Cricetulus griseus: one gene and its partner. The protein of the gene in region 1 purifies or fractionates together with the protein of each later gene. This does not show direct contact. Links are inferred from orthologs where the notes say so. Each region holds a gene or a part of one and is shown on either strand. Other genes may lie near its edges.

Evidence for each region.
Region 2: the proteins of Vdac2 (region 1) and protein FAM162A fractionate together in Homo sapiens (co-fractionation; 3 studies listed by BioGRID and IntAct, with this or other methods). This does not show direct contact. The link is inferred for Cricetulus griseus from reciprocal best matches to the Homo sapiens genes VDAC2 and FAM162A.

What each region holds. Positions count from the first base shown.
Region 1 is NW_023276807.1:199,147,563-199,155,430, forward strand, and holds the start of Vdac2 (voltage-dependent anion-selective channel protein 2), read right to left. Parts: upstream 3,988-7,868; 5' UTR 3,834-3,987; intron 3,650-3,833; 5' UTR 3,625-3,649; coding exon 3,591-3,624; intron 2,610-3,590; coding exon 2,541-2,609; intron 1,549-2,540; coding exon 1,499-1,548; intron 1-1,498. UniProt on the Homo sapiens protein: Non-selective voltage-gated ion channel that mediates the transport of anions and cations through the mitochondrion outer membrane and plasma membrane.
Region 2 is NC_048597.1:53,616,192-53,623,357, forward strand, and holds part of protein FAM162A, read left to right. Parts: intron 1-468; coding exon 469-591; intron 592-2,333; coding exon 2,334-2,442; intron 2,443-7,166. UniProt on the Homo sapiens protein: Proposed to be involved in regulation of apoptosis; the exact mechanism may differ between cell types/tissues.

The DNA of each region.
Region 1 (7,868 bases):
TTAGTCTGTAGGTCAAACTGGAACAGATGAAACCAACAATAAAGCAATTCACTCCATCACTATGAACTTCTTCTACATTTTGGGGTAGCCTGAACATCTCTGCAATTCAAGAAAGAAAAGGGCCACTGGGTGGTGGTGGTGGTGGTGGTGGTGGTGGTGGTGGTGGTGGTAGTGGTGCACACTGTTAATCCCAGCACTAGGGAGGCAGGAGGAAAAAAAGGATGTTTTGCTTATAAATCTATAAATCTAGTGCTCAATACAGTTCTCCAATTGTTCTCAGCTTAAAGTTTGTCTTTGTAACTAGAAGGGGGTGTTTTGTTTGTTTTCCGCACTGGACCTCATACACAACTGGGTAAGCCTTTTACCACTAAGTTATACTCCCAGTCTAAAAGTAAGCTTTTTAAAAACAAGGATGGGGTACTTATTTTAATGTAACACACCTGCACAAACATATTTAAAACCTGGTAGGATGAAAATAGAGATTAGTAGTAGAACTACAAGGCTCTAGTTTCAATCTCCAGCAATCAGCTAACTAATATTCTGTAAACTCTTAACCCAGCCAAGTCAACCATCACCAAATATTTAGCTTCTTTGCAAACCAAGGAAACCACAGGACAGAACAATATAAAACCCCATAAATGCAACAGGTCTGACCATTAAGAATCCCTACCAGGAACAACTTTAATACTAGTTATATTCAGAACATGCATTTATCACAGTGCCCAATAATCATAGTTTAGCATGTACACAATACAACCATCTCTGAATCTCAAAACAAAAATTATTAGAGAAAGAAAAAAAAGCATACAATATTTTACTTTATCCCTTGTTTCAACAACTGGGGAGGATAAACGCATAAGCAATATTCAGGTCAGGACAGAGGTATGTAGACATCTCCATGGATGACTGTTAGAATATAGCCATTATATTAAATGACCAGTATGGTCAAATAAACAAGTTACTATTAAGCCCAGAATACCTTGGCAGGTATTAGGAGAAAGTTACAAGGGCGTGGATTATAAGCTTCTGGCCTTCAAGCTTGTAATCTACCTGAGTAAATAGTCCCAAATAACCAATGTCTTTCCCCACTTCTTTGTACAATCATAGTAACACACACACACACACACACACACACACACACACACAAATATAACAAAACTACATGAAAAGCAGAAATATCCAAAGCTAATAAATCAGATTACATGCAAATCACTCAAAACAAATTAACTTCTGCCTCCTTAAGGCAAAACAACTATAGACATTTATAGGCTAAGAAATTAGGGGCTGGAGAGATGGCTCAGAGGTTAAGAGCATTGACTACTCTTCCAGAGGACCCTGGTTCAAACCCCCAGCAAATACATGGTGGCTCACAACCATAATGAGACCCAATGCCCTCTTCTGGCTTGTAGGCATACATGAAGACAGAACATTCTATACATTAAATAAATAAATCTTAAAATAAAATTAAAAGAGTTACAAGAACTTATTAGACACTTACCACACCGCTGCATGACTTTGTTTTCACATCCAGCTTTACCAACCCAAAGCCTTCAAAGAATAGAGAGCAAAGACATGACTATTCTGCAGATATATACCCATTATTCATGTTACATTTAAAATAATTCAAATGTCCAGAGGAACAAAAATGTACCGATGCCTAGCACCTGCAAGGCACTTAAAAGCAGTCAGCTGCCCAGCATGCTGGCAGGAAATTGGCTCCACTTCCTGACACACCCTTTCCAAGACACTTTTTAAATGTTAGAGACTAGAAAAATCGACAATGTCTTTAATCCCAGCACAGGGGAGGTAGAGACAGGTGGATCTCTGTGAATTTGAGGCCAGCCTGGTCTACAGAGCCAAGTTCCAGGACAGGGTCCAAAAAGTCCTGTCTGGGAAGGAAAAAAAAAAATCACTTCCGCAGAATAGCCTATTGTTGATGACTACACCTTAAGGACATTTATCCCAAAGGAGTGGGAGAAGGGGTATGTGCAACACAACCTTCAAGAAAACTCAAACTCACTCAAAAAGCCCACAACCCCTTAAGGTTTCAGTTCCACCAGGAGCCACAGACACAAAACTAAAAGAGTAATTCAGGGCAGCTCTACTCAACCAAGGCCTGCTCAGTCACCAAAGAGAATAAAAGTACAAGCTTCTTGCAGGATAGTGCACACCTTTAATCCCAGCACTTGGGAGGCAGATCTCAGTGAGTTCGAGGCCAGCCTGGTCTATAAATTGAGGTCCAGGACAGTCAGGACTGTTACATAGAGAAACCCTATCTGGAAAAAACAAACAAACAAAAAAAAAAAGCAAAAACAAAAAACCCAGAACCCAAAAGTACAAGCTTTTCCCTTAAAAGGTTAGAATTCATAAACTTGGGCCTGAACAAAAGCTGGGGTACAGTGGAGCAGTCTAACATAAAATGCATCTGGCAGAAACATTAAACCAGCAGGATATTCAGTCTGGAAAAGCAAGTCAATGTCCTAAAGGGATGCAAGCATACATTTTCTCTTTTAAGCTAAAATTAAAAGAAAAGTCCTTACCAAATCCTTTGTTGAAAATATCTCTGGCAGCTTTGCCAAGGTCAGCATAGCATGGAGGGATACACATTGCTAGTAAAAAGAAACATTCTATAGTTAACATGACTGGACTATGACCTACTGCTAATATTTACATTCAAGCAGACCAATGAGAACTATACCACTTTACTCTTAACAGCCATCTGTAACAACAGTTTACTTTCTAAATAGCTATGTGGTAATATAAACCTGCGACAGTTCCCCAGTTTGGTTTTATAGGGTAGGGCAAGCCTATCTAATTCCTAAACTTAAAAGTCTACAGCCTTGCTCGAAACACTAGTACAAGTGTACACACACTTGCCAGAATTCAAGTGGACTGACTGATTTAACTAAGACAAAAACCAAAATTTAATGTTAGGCATTTTCCCTAGCAAAGCACCTGGTATATCTTCCAAGAACAAAACCAACACTTAACACTCTGGGAACTGACATCTTGAGACATAGGGGAGAGAAATACAACCATCTATGTTTCAGTCAAGTGTCTACAGCAACTAAATATCAAATGGCACTTTAAACACACTAATACGACTCCCAAGTACTCCGCCAATGCAGTGAGGCTTAAGGGCAAGGAATCTGAGCTCCGGCCGCAGCTCATTCATTCTAAAGAGCACATCCACGCCCTTAGGAACACGTGTAATGACCTTGTAGTGCACTCCATCTCTACGGGCAGAGGGAGAACTACTTCCTCTTGCAAAGTGGCCCATCTAATCCTCCAGGGTGAAATTCAACAACTAGTAGTTTTTGTTTTGCTTTCGGGTTGGTAAAACGACACATCCAAAAGCAGAGGGTGGGTACCGCCAAGGACCAACGCCCCAGGCGCGAGCCCCCGATCTGCAACCCAACAGCCCAGCACCCACGTCGGTCAGCAGAGGCGGCGGTACGCTTTAGTGGCCGCACAAAGTGGAGAGAACTTTCCAAGTCCTTGCAAGCATGTGAATCGAGGCGGGACCAGCTATGGTTTTCCAAAGAAGGGCACAGCAGCCCCGCCGAAGACACTTCTAATGATCTACTTACGCCGTGGGCATATCGGTACACAACAGTCCGCCATAGCGAAGCCTCGGGGAAAAGGAGATCTGTAGAAGGGACAAGAAGTGCGATCAGGGGACGGTCAAAGGGCCCAAGGGGGATCTCGGACAGAAGGGAAAGGGGGCCGGGGCCGCTGCGGCCATCTTAGGGGAGCAGAGCCGCCCCGAGTCCGCTGTGGCTGCCGGCCCGGCCTAGGCCCCTGGGATCGGCATGAGGCCAGCGACGTAGTACCTGCGGGTGTCCTGAGGGGCGTTGCCGCCGCCGCCGCCGCTCCGCTCCCAGCCGAGGCCGCTCCGCTACCCAGAGACTGCGCTGCAGCCACCGCGGCTGGAGGGCGAAGTGAAGGAGACACCGTTGCGCCCCGCCGCAAGCCTGGCCTCCCCCAGCCAGGACCCCGCCGCGGCCGCCCGGGCTGTCCGCTGCGCCTGTCCTTGCCGCGCCGCCCGCCACCCACTCGCACCTACTCCGGAGTGGCCACGCGGGTCGAGGGCACGGTGATCCCCCGGGGTGAGCTGTCTCGGACCGTCCAGTGGGGACGGGGCGAGAAGGAGCTGGAGGGCCACGGGTCAGGCAGTGTACGGGGCAGCCCCAGAAGCGAGGGCCGGGGAACGGCGGAGGCGGTGCAACGGCACCCGCGCGGCCAGGAAGGGAGAGGCCACGCGCGTCACGACGGGCGGGGCGATGCGGCCCGCGGGGTCACGTGCACCCCTCCGCCTGCGTGCTGAGTGACCCAGCAAGGGAACGTGCGGGCAGTCACTGCCTCCACAGCGGCTTAAGAGCCCGGGAGGTGCAAGTAGAAGTGAGGTTCGCTGCGCCATCTGCAGCCTCCATCCCCTTCTTACATCGGTTCACCGCCCGCTGCGATGTCATCCTGAGGTGGGGCTGGGCTCCCAGAGGAACAAACTTGAGCCACCTTCAGTGGGCTCTACTCTGAGAGCCTCGGGCTTGTGCTCCTAAAGCCTCCTTCCCACTCATGTGGATGGCTTCACACTCGTGCAGAAGCCATGCTCCAGTAGGGAGATAAGCTTTCCCTGGTTGAGAGGCCCAGAAAGATACGGGAAGAACTGTAGGGTTCGTGTTGACCAGTCATTAGAATGCTGTTCTCAAATTCTGTGTAAGAAGAATGAGGAAGCTGCCAGCCCTGGTTCATGGGAAGCACAGGAGATTGCCTCCAGTTTGAGGCTAAGCTACAGCACGAGGCAAATAGGGGGAAAAAAAGAAGAAATGCTCAAGCTAATAGAGATAGAAACAGGGCCTTCGGAGAGGGCTCAGTGGGTAAGAACTCTTGCTGGGCAAGCAGGAGGACCTGAGTTCCAATACCCAGTCCCCACATTAAAAGCCAATAGTAGCCCCAGAAAGAGCAACAAGAGGGTCGCTGGGGTTCTTTGCCCACCTGGCCAGCAAACAGTATGCTCTAAGTTCAGTAACAGATTCTGGCTCAAGGGAGTAAGGTGAAGAGCAATAGAGACTATCCAAAATCCTCTGGTCTCAGGCATAAGAGTGAATACCTGTACACAAACATACACCACCTATAAAGAAGATTAGAAATGGACACCACTGAGGCTTCAATTCAATAAAACTCAGGTAATTTAGGCCGTGAACCTCAGTTTCCTCATCTCTAAGGTAATGTTTAACAGTGTTGGTTTTTTTTAAATACCTTATTTAACTTTATGTGCATTGGTATAAGGATACCAGATCCCCTGGAACTGGAGTTAGAGACAGGTGTGAGCTGCCATGTGGGTGCTGGGAATAGAACCTGGGTCCTCTTGAAGAGCAGCCACGGCTCTTAACCACTGAGCCATCTCTAACAGTGTTTAATAGGCATTCAGTTGGACTGACAACAAAGACTCCATACACGTACATGCTCACAACCCAATTATCTCTGAACTCTTCCTCTACTCAAGTTTTCATTCTCCTCCTAACTGGGAAAAGATGGCTAGATGGCCTTTGCCAATCCAGAACCAAGTTTACTAGCAATCTTGCCTGGTCATGGCTGAGGCTGTGTTGTAAAGAGTTAAATGTGAAGAGTCTTTGTGTCTAAGAGATCAGGCTCTAACACCTGATTCATCCCTTCATTCAAGCTCAGGCAGGCTGGTCTGCAATGGACCTGGCCAATAGGAGATATCCTGCCCTCGCTGTTTGATACCTTTGCATACCAAAAGCAGGACTTACTCATATTATGAATTAACATGTAGCCATTTTTGATCTCCAAAGACATCATTTTCTCTGACACAAGTCTGAGGCTTTACTCTGTAAATGTACAGTGTGTGGGCAGTGCTTAATGGTCACTGGAGATAGACATGTGCCTGAGCAAAAAATTGCAGGGGTGGAAAAGAAGTTGATTCCTTCCCAATATTAAAGACACAGCTGACACTCCTATATAAAAGGCAGGTTAGCAAGAAAAATATATAACTCATTTATCATGGATTTATATGATACACAATCCACCAAACTTAAGAACTCAAACACCCAAGATATATTATTGATTTTTTTTTTAGATTATTGATTTTTACGCTAAGGTTGAATGAAGCATGGATAGGCATATAAAAATATACATGAACAAGCCAGGCGGTGGTGTCGCACACCTTTAGTCCCAGCACTCGGGAGGCAGAGGCGTGCGGATCTCTGTCAGTTCGAGACTAGCCTGGTCCACAAGAGGTAGTTCCAGGACAGCCTCCAAAGCCACAGAAAAACCCTGTCTCAGGAAAAAAAAAAAAAAAAGAAAAAAGAAAGAAAGAAAAAAAGAAATATACATGATCAAATAGAGTATAATCTAACAGAATGAGTAGGTATCCCAAAATGCCTGTCCGGGTGCCCCCTCCCCTAACTATGGAGACAGAACCTTTCTAAGAAGGAAGGGCTTGGTTTTGTCAGTATATTGCTGGGAATTGAACTAATGTTTAGACCAGCCCTCTACCACCCCTTTTTTAACCCTACAAAACCAGGTCTCTCACTAAGTTGCCAAGGCAATCCTTGAGCTTGCCGTCTTCCTGCTTCAGCCTCCCAAGGAGCTGAAATTATAGGCCGTACCACCAGGCCCCACTTGCATGGAGGTCTTGAACTGGGAAAATGGCTGAATAAAGTCCTTGCTGTGTAAATGTTAGTATCAAGGCTTCGGATCTCTAGAACCACATAAAAGATGGGCAGTTCACCTATAACCCCATCACTCAGGAGGCAGACATGGGATCCCTGGGACAAGATAGCTAGTTAAACTAGATTAAATTGGCAAGCTCTGGATTTAGCAAGAGACTCTGGTTCAGTAAATTAGAGAACCATCCATGAAGAAACATGCATGTGTACACATTTGTACATGCACCCACATGCAAAAAGTATGTATATCTGCCATGTCCATTGCAGCTTTGGTCCAAGAACTCTGGCTAGGGGCAGTGAAGGAATAAAGAAAGAACACATGTACAGTGAAGCTGGGACCAGGTGGGTTTCCCTAATTGCTACCACTGCAAACCTGTAATCTCAGCGTGGTTATTAGGCACAGCATAGGGGCAGGGATTAGCCAGTCTTGGCAGGAGGTGTCTGTAGACAGTGGTCTCAAGCTATAGACATCTGGGAAGAGGAGGGTGCAGTTGCTAGTTTTCACACTGGTCAACCTTTCATAAACATTCATACCTCCCAAGGGAGGCTTTGCCACTCCTCTTCAGCTTGTTCCACATGGGTAGCAGTTTTGCCAATTGTCCCATGGTGTTATAGACTTAGAGAAAGGAAGGGATAAAGGGAAAGAAAGAGAAGGACATGGACAAAACCAGAGGGCATAAGGTTCACTGTGAATCCACTGTGAAGTCCACCGGTTGACTGAGGCAAGGACATTGGTGTGGGCTGCACTGTCACATCCCACACAACAGTAGGACTAGCACATTTTGTTGGCAAAGATGCTGGAGTCACTTGGGTGTTGTAGGATAGATAGTGGAGAGGACAACTCTGAATCAGGCTCCAAAGTCCTCTGTGACTAAAACGGAGTGATTGCAAATGAGTCATAAAGGATAATAAGACTTGGGATATGGTCCAGTGGAAAGGTATTGCCTGGTGTGTGTAAGATCTGGGGTTTAGCCCCCAGCACCGCATACAAAAAGAAAACAAGTCTATCTGATGGCATAAACCTCAATCTTTTTTTGTTGTTTGGTTTTTGGTTTTTGGTTTTTCGAGACAGGGCTTCTCTGTAGCTTTGAAGGCTGTCCTGGAACTTGCTCTGTAGACCAGGCTGGCCTCAAACCCACTGAGATCCGACTGCCTTTGCCTCCCGAGGGCTGGGAT
Region 2 (7,166 bases), on another chromosome or scaffold:
AGGCGTGCGCCAGATAGTGTATTTTCTAAATGAGCTAACTTGTGTTTTCTAAGAGAGCTGAATTTTTGCCTGTTTGTTTGAGGTAGAGTAGCCCAAGCACACCTTGAACTCAGTACATAACCCCAGCTGGCCTTGAATTTTAATGAAATCCTCTAGCCTCAACCCTGCAAGTTGTGCAACTGTGCAACTGTGTCACTACACCCAACCTTTATGAGTTGATTTGTATTTTATGTATATAACTGCAAACTTACGGACTTGTGCTTTGTTCTTGGGGGAGGGAGGGGGAAGACAGTGTCTTGCTGTTTAGCTGGCCTGAAACTCACTGCAGAGCCCAGGCTGACCTCAAACCTCTGATGATCCTCCCAGCCCTCCCTCCTGAGTGCTGGGATTACAGGCCTGGACCACCACATTCAGCTACTTGCAAGTATTTCTTCAAAAAAACATCAGATTTCTCTCTCTCTTTTCTAGGACATTGCTTTAGGTTATTCGAAAGAAATGCTTCCTTGTCTCTAAGGTCTACCAGGAACACTGACTTGAAGAGGATCAACGGATTTTGCACCAAGTCACAGGAAAGTCCCAAAGCCCCAACCGGTAAGTGTTCACTGCTTAATGCATTTATGGAATATGTAGCCCCCATTCCCACCCCTTAGAATCATTTGGCATCAAAAGAACTTGAAGAGGTAGGCCAGTGTTCCTCCATCATGCTCAGTCTTGTAGAGTTGCCTTCCTTACTGGGCATGCATTGGTTGTGTTCACAGTGCACAATGGTGTCTGTGTATGCGCACCCACGCATGCGCACATACACACACCACAGGTGAACATCAGGTGTCCCCCTCAACCATTCTCCACTTTAGTTTTTGAGGTAGGATCTCTCACTGAATCTGAAGGTCACCCATTTGGCAAGACTGGCTGGCCAGCAAACACCTCTGCCTCCCCGGTGCTATCGTTCTAGGTGTACACATCACCCCTGGCTTTTTTTTTTTTGAAGTGGGTCCTGGAGATTAAACTGGTCTCCTTGTGCCTGACTGAGTCATTTCCCCAACCACATCAAGAGATTATGTCTGGGATCAGATATAATGAGGCTAAATTCTGAGTTTGGGCCCAACGTCAGCCATATCTGTTATATATACCTAAGGTCGAGCTGCCACTGCGGAAACCCACCAGCTGTAACCCACCAGCTTTGCTTGTCTGCAAGCTCCTTCTGGGGGTGCACCTGGGTTCTGCAGGCCATAGTGAATAGAAAGGACTTAAAACATGTTTATTCCTCTCAACCCGATGTTTCTCTTTTCAAGATTCACCATCTGTCCTAAGCAGTAATCACTATATATGGGAAAGGCGGGGAGTGTAAAGATGTTGTGTATATATATTATATATATATATTATATATATATTACACACACACATATATGTCAAATTACATGCAGCTGTTGGCGGTTTCTTATAAACACTGTAATTCTGTGGAATGTTCCATATCTATGAATATATATATATCCAGATGTCAGATTTTATACTGTATGTGAGCGTAAGCCTTATACATGCATATAAAGTGTGTGGTCATACCCACCCAAATTAAAGTATACTGGCCACTCTATAGTAGTGGCATTATGAATTATTTTAATTTTTTGCTTTTTCATATCTGTTCTTGGGACACAGAGGCAAGCAGATCTCTGTGAGCTCCAGGCCAGCCAGGCTTATATTTAAACAAGAACAAAAAGATGTATCCCAAATCCAGTGAATCCCTCAGCTTGGTGTTCAGTGTCTGATAATGTTAATGCAATCTAACCATACAGCCTTTTTCTTACTCTGCTGGAGGAGACGGGCACCCTCTTGTCTTTTCTCGGCACATCTTTCCTCCCTGTCTCTTCTTGTGGTATTCTTTCCACTTTATAGTGGTAGGGCTTCTATTTTGCCCTGTTCCTCATGGTGCTGGGGAATGTCACTTCAAAACAAGGCATTCTGGGGGCTGGAGAGATGGCTCAGAGGTTAGGAGCACTGGCTGTTCTTCCAAAGGCCCTGAGTTCAATTCCCAGCAACCACATGGTGGCTCACAACCCTCCATTATGAGATCTGGTGCCCTCTTCTGGTGTGCAGGTGTGCATGCAGATAAAGCACTTGCATGCATAAAATAAATAAATCCTTTTAAAAAAAGAAAGAAAGAAGCCATTCTGCCCACTCCTATTCACATCACGTGAAGCTCTGGATCAGCCTGAAGTCTCCTGGTGTTTCCATTAACTGAATAACTAAAGGACACAAACAGCATTTTTTTTTTCTGTTGCTTGCTTGATTTAAACATTAAAATCTCAAGCAAGACTGTTACCTGGTTTTCCCTACAGAATCTTACAGACACAGAGTGCCGCTTCACAAACCCACAGACTTCGAGAAGAAGATACTATTGTGGTCAGGGCGCTTCAAGAAGGAGGAAGAAATCCCGGAGACGATCTCGTGAGTGCTGGGAGGGTTGTACTCAGCCCGAGTTTCTCACTGGTCTCTGAAGGGGACCAGTGCATTTGAACTCTGTTTAAAACCTTTTGACCAGATTTAGAAACATTCTTCATTCTCTACATGTTTTCTCATGTTTGGCAATTACCCAGAACAGTCAGTGTTGGAAAGCTGTTAGGGTGTTACCTAGCGACTGATGGACCTGTTCGCTTCTGAAGCCAGCTGATGTTTAGTTACACATCCTCGCTCCAGGAACTTTAAGAGGTGAGGTCTCAGGCCTCAGCCGGGCAGTGGTGGTGCACACCGGTAGTCCCAGAACTCAGGAGCCAGAGGCAGGCAGATCTCTCTGAGTTCAAGGCATCTTGGACTACAGAATGAGTTCCAGGACAGCCAGACAACCCCTGTCCTGAAACTGCCTGCCACCCCCACCCCCCCAGAATCCCACAGCCCTAAAAAGAGGTGAGATCTCATGGGAGCTCCTCAGAGATCCTGGTCCTCCTCATCTTCAGCTCTTTGGCTTCCTTCGAGCTAAGTGTCCCCACCCTCTCAGCAGGATGTTCGACCTCCATAAGCCTCTCCCTTTTCATACACTGCTCACCTCCGATATCCCAGGTAACCAGGAAGAGGTTTCTTCCTCACCTGCCTCCTTAAGCCTCAGCTGGAATCTAGACTGTTTCAGAATTTCTAAGTAATATGTGCAGGTTCCTCTAAGCCAGGGTTTTACAGCCTTAGCTAGCACTGTTGACACTTTGGACTGGAATGTTTTGGGTTTTGTGAACTGCCGTGTGTACTGAAGGATGTTACCAACATCCCTGACGTCTGCCCTCTAGATGCCAGCAGTACTCTCTCCAAGAGTGACCCCAGGCATTGTCAAATGTCCCCTGGGGTCAAATCTATCTCAGGTGGAAGAAGTGTTCAGTCTTGTGCTAAGGACCCTGACTGACCAGAAGTGAAACTCTCTCCCCTGTGGGCATCCTCCTCCTCAGAGTAAGGGATGTTATGCAAGTTCCCTGTCAGCAAGAAACTATTCCTGGGCCTTCTGGCTCTGGGTTCAAGCAGCACATCTTTTCCAGGTAGAAAGGACGCATCTGCTTCTGCCCATAGAGCCCTGCTGCTCTTCCCGGTCACCCCCAGAATTATCTCAGCAGGAAAGCCTTAGTGCTCCTTAACCCTAGTCACAGTGCCCTCTTCTGAGAAATGGGAGTTTACAGGAAATAGCGGGGACACCCTGTTCTTGCTTTTGCCCTGGTTTCTTGATAATGTCCCATCAAAACCAAGATGATCTCTACCTGGAGGGGATGGGCTGTGATTTCTGCTGTTCGGAGTTTGCTGTGGCACACCTTGTCTCCCTTGTCATTGGTTCTAGATCTCTCAGACCCAAAGTACTACCTGGTGAGTCACTCTGGAAAGTTCTTCCCTAGGCTTGGGCAACTGATTGTCTATGCTGGTGGTTGTGAGCAGGTCCTGCTTCTCTTGCCTTTTATTATTATTGTTATCCGAGGAACTCACACATACATATAATGTGTTTTGACTTAATTCAGCCACTGATGTGTGCCCTTCCCTCCAATTTCTACATTTCCCTCCCAACTTCATGGTTTTTATTTTGCTTTTTTTTAAACTAACCTTGCTTCTTTTGAAATGGTTAGCAACTGTCATGGCCATGTTGAAATGTATTTTCCTTTATAAATGGTCTCCTAATGGTATGCCACTACGGGAGGATCACAAGACTTCAGTTGGAGACACCCGTGCACATAAAATCTTGTTGTATTAGTTACTTTTCTATTGCTGTAATAAAACACCATGACCAAGGCAACAACTTACAGAATAAAGAGTTTGCTCTGGGCTTGCAGTTCCAGAGGGTTAGGATCCATAATGGTGAGGACAGCAGGCAGCAGACATGAGACAGGAGCTGTGAGCTGAGAGGTCACATCTCAAACTGTAAGCAGGAAATAGAGAGGGTGAACTGGGAAAGGTGGGAAAGGCATGTGGCTTTTGAGACCTCAAAGCCTGCTCAACAGTTTCACACTTCCTCCAACAGGCCACACTCCCTAATCCTACCCAAACAGTGCCACTGGGAGCCAGGCTGATCCAAGGCTTTCTTAGAGGCCCTGAAGAAAGGACAGAAAGAAGGCTAGTTTTTTGTTCTTGCCCAGGGGCAGCATGGCACGGTCTAGTTCAGGCCCAGGGTCAGGGCCTCAAAGGACTTACAGTTTCAGGTTCCTGGGAACCTGGCTTTGGGCCTGAAGAAACTGGAATTATCAGTCCCAAGACCACTGTATGCTTGGTCTATGATACATTTGAGCCATCCCGTGTTCCTTTTTGTATAATTTTTCTTGATTAGCGTCCTCTGACTTCATCCTATTGTGTGACAGCTTTCTGCTGACTCTGTCCCATCCCCAATCCCCACCACCACCACCACGCACTGCAAACTGTCTATAGTATGCTGTACTTCTTAATAAACTTGCCTTGGCATAAGGCATCAGCTTCTGTAAGACCTCCTTGTCCCTACTTTTCTGGTTTCTTTATTTTCTTATCACCACCCTTCCCCTTAGGAACCTATCATTGAAAATCAGCCTGCTGGTCCAGGTCAACCAAGTATTCAAATGCCCTAGACTAAGGGAAAACATTCTCCTTGCAGCCACCACACAAGTTAAAATGGTTTGGGTTTTTTGTTTTTTGTTTGTTTGTTTGGTTGGTTTGGATTGTTTTTATGGCTAGTGAGTTCTCAGATGATTTTAGTTAAGCAGTTAAGCAGTTCACTATCTTTCGAAGCTGTTCCTGGTTCCTACCATCCTATGGCCCCAGTTTCAGTGCCTGGACTGGAGAGCTCGTCGTACAATCTGCTTTCCAAGTCCCAGTTCTTACATCACACTGTATATGTGACCTCCTCCATGGCAGCCTTTGAAAGCCATTGCTCTTGCTTATTGTAGATGGAAGTTTCTATCCCTCCAGGTCCTGCAGCCGTTTAGTCTCAAACACACAGAGGCCTATAGTAATTATAAACCATTTGGCTGATGGCTCAGGTTTCTGGCTAACTCTCTCTTAATTATTAACCCATAACTATTAATCTGTGTTTCTCCACATGATTTTAGCTTACTGGTGATTCCCGAGCCTCTTGCTCCCTAAGCAGATACATGGTGTCTCCTTTTCTCTGCCTATTGCCTTTCTCTATCCCTGTTTGGATTTTCCTCCTGGCTAAATCCTGCCTTCCCATTGCCCGAAACAGCTTTTTTCATCAACCAATAAGAGAAATATATATTCACAGCATACAGAAGGCCCTCCACCATCAGCTTATATTCAATATTAGATATGCTAAATATTGGGGGGGGGATAGAAAGCATTCCAATCCCTTTTATTTATTTATTTTTCTGAGACAGGGTTTTTCTGTGTAACAACCCTGGCTGTCCTGGGACTCACAGAGATCGCCTGCCTCTGCCTCCTGAGTTCTGTGATTAAAGGCGTGCACCACCACCACCTGGTGTCCAATCCCATTATTTAGAAATAGCCACTTCCTGTGCACACCTACTGGGGAGACCCACTTGGACTCCATGTGTCCTGTCTTGCCCTTCTAGGTACCACAATAGAACCATAACCCACTGCCTTCCTACGGAATCACAAAGATAATAGCCTTCTCTCATTTAATCTTATTACATTTATTCATTTAGTGGCTTGGGATGGTGCTTGTGACACAGCATCTGTGTAGAAATGAAACCGCTTACGGAAGTGTCTCTACCATATAGACCCTAAAAATTGAATTCAGGCCACTGGGCTTGGCTGCAAGCACCTTTACCTACTGGTCCTTCTTGCATACCCAGCCTTCTGTTTAGACTCTTGCACGTTATGCCCCTGTCAAGGCATGTAGGTCATCAGTCAGTGGAAAGGTTAGATAGGCTACATTCTGGGTACTTGCCAAAAAGCATAGGCTCCACTCCACTGTTGCTCAATTTTAGCAAAACCTTCATGACAAGATTAACATTTAAGGGACCATTGTTTAAGGGATTATTTCCCTGGCTCAGGCAACCTCAAATCTGTTTCTGATTTAAGACAGAGAAAAACACTAGATTAGAGGCTGGAAAAATACTCAGATATGCTTGCATTGTTTGAAATAAATCCTAAGGTTTGTTTTTCGACAAAAGTTTCTCTCCATAGCCCTGGCTGTCTTGGAACTTGCTATGTGGAACAGATTGGCCTTGAATTTACAATGATCCTCCTTCCTCTGCCTAGGTTACAGGCCTGAACTATTCCCAGCAAGCATACGTTTTGTTATGAAATGCACTTTTAGATGAGTTGATAAAAATGGAAAGACTTTGAATTAATAACATAGTTTCTAGTCCTCCCTCCCCCAATCAAAAATCAGAGTAATCAGGCTGCAGAGATGGCTCCAGTAGTTAAGGGCACTGGCTGTCCTTCCAGAGAATGGAGGTTCAGTTCCCAGAACCAACATGTGACTTATAACCTTCTGTATCATAGGAGATCCAAATCCTCTTCTGGCCCCTGACTCAGGCACTGCACATAGTGCGTAGACACACATTCAGGCAAAGCACCCATGTGCATAAAGTTTAAAATGGGGGAGACAACTAGATTACACAAAGAATATTAACTCTTCCATGTTTGTTTTCTTTCTGAACTATATTTTTGTTATAACTTGAGCTTATAACAGGACTTTTTGAGAGAAGAATGAGTTCCAGGCCAGCCTGGGCTATAAAGTAAGAAAGACCTTGTCTCCA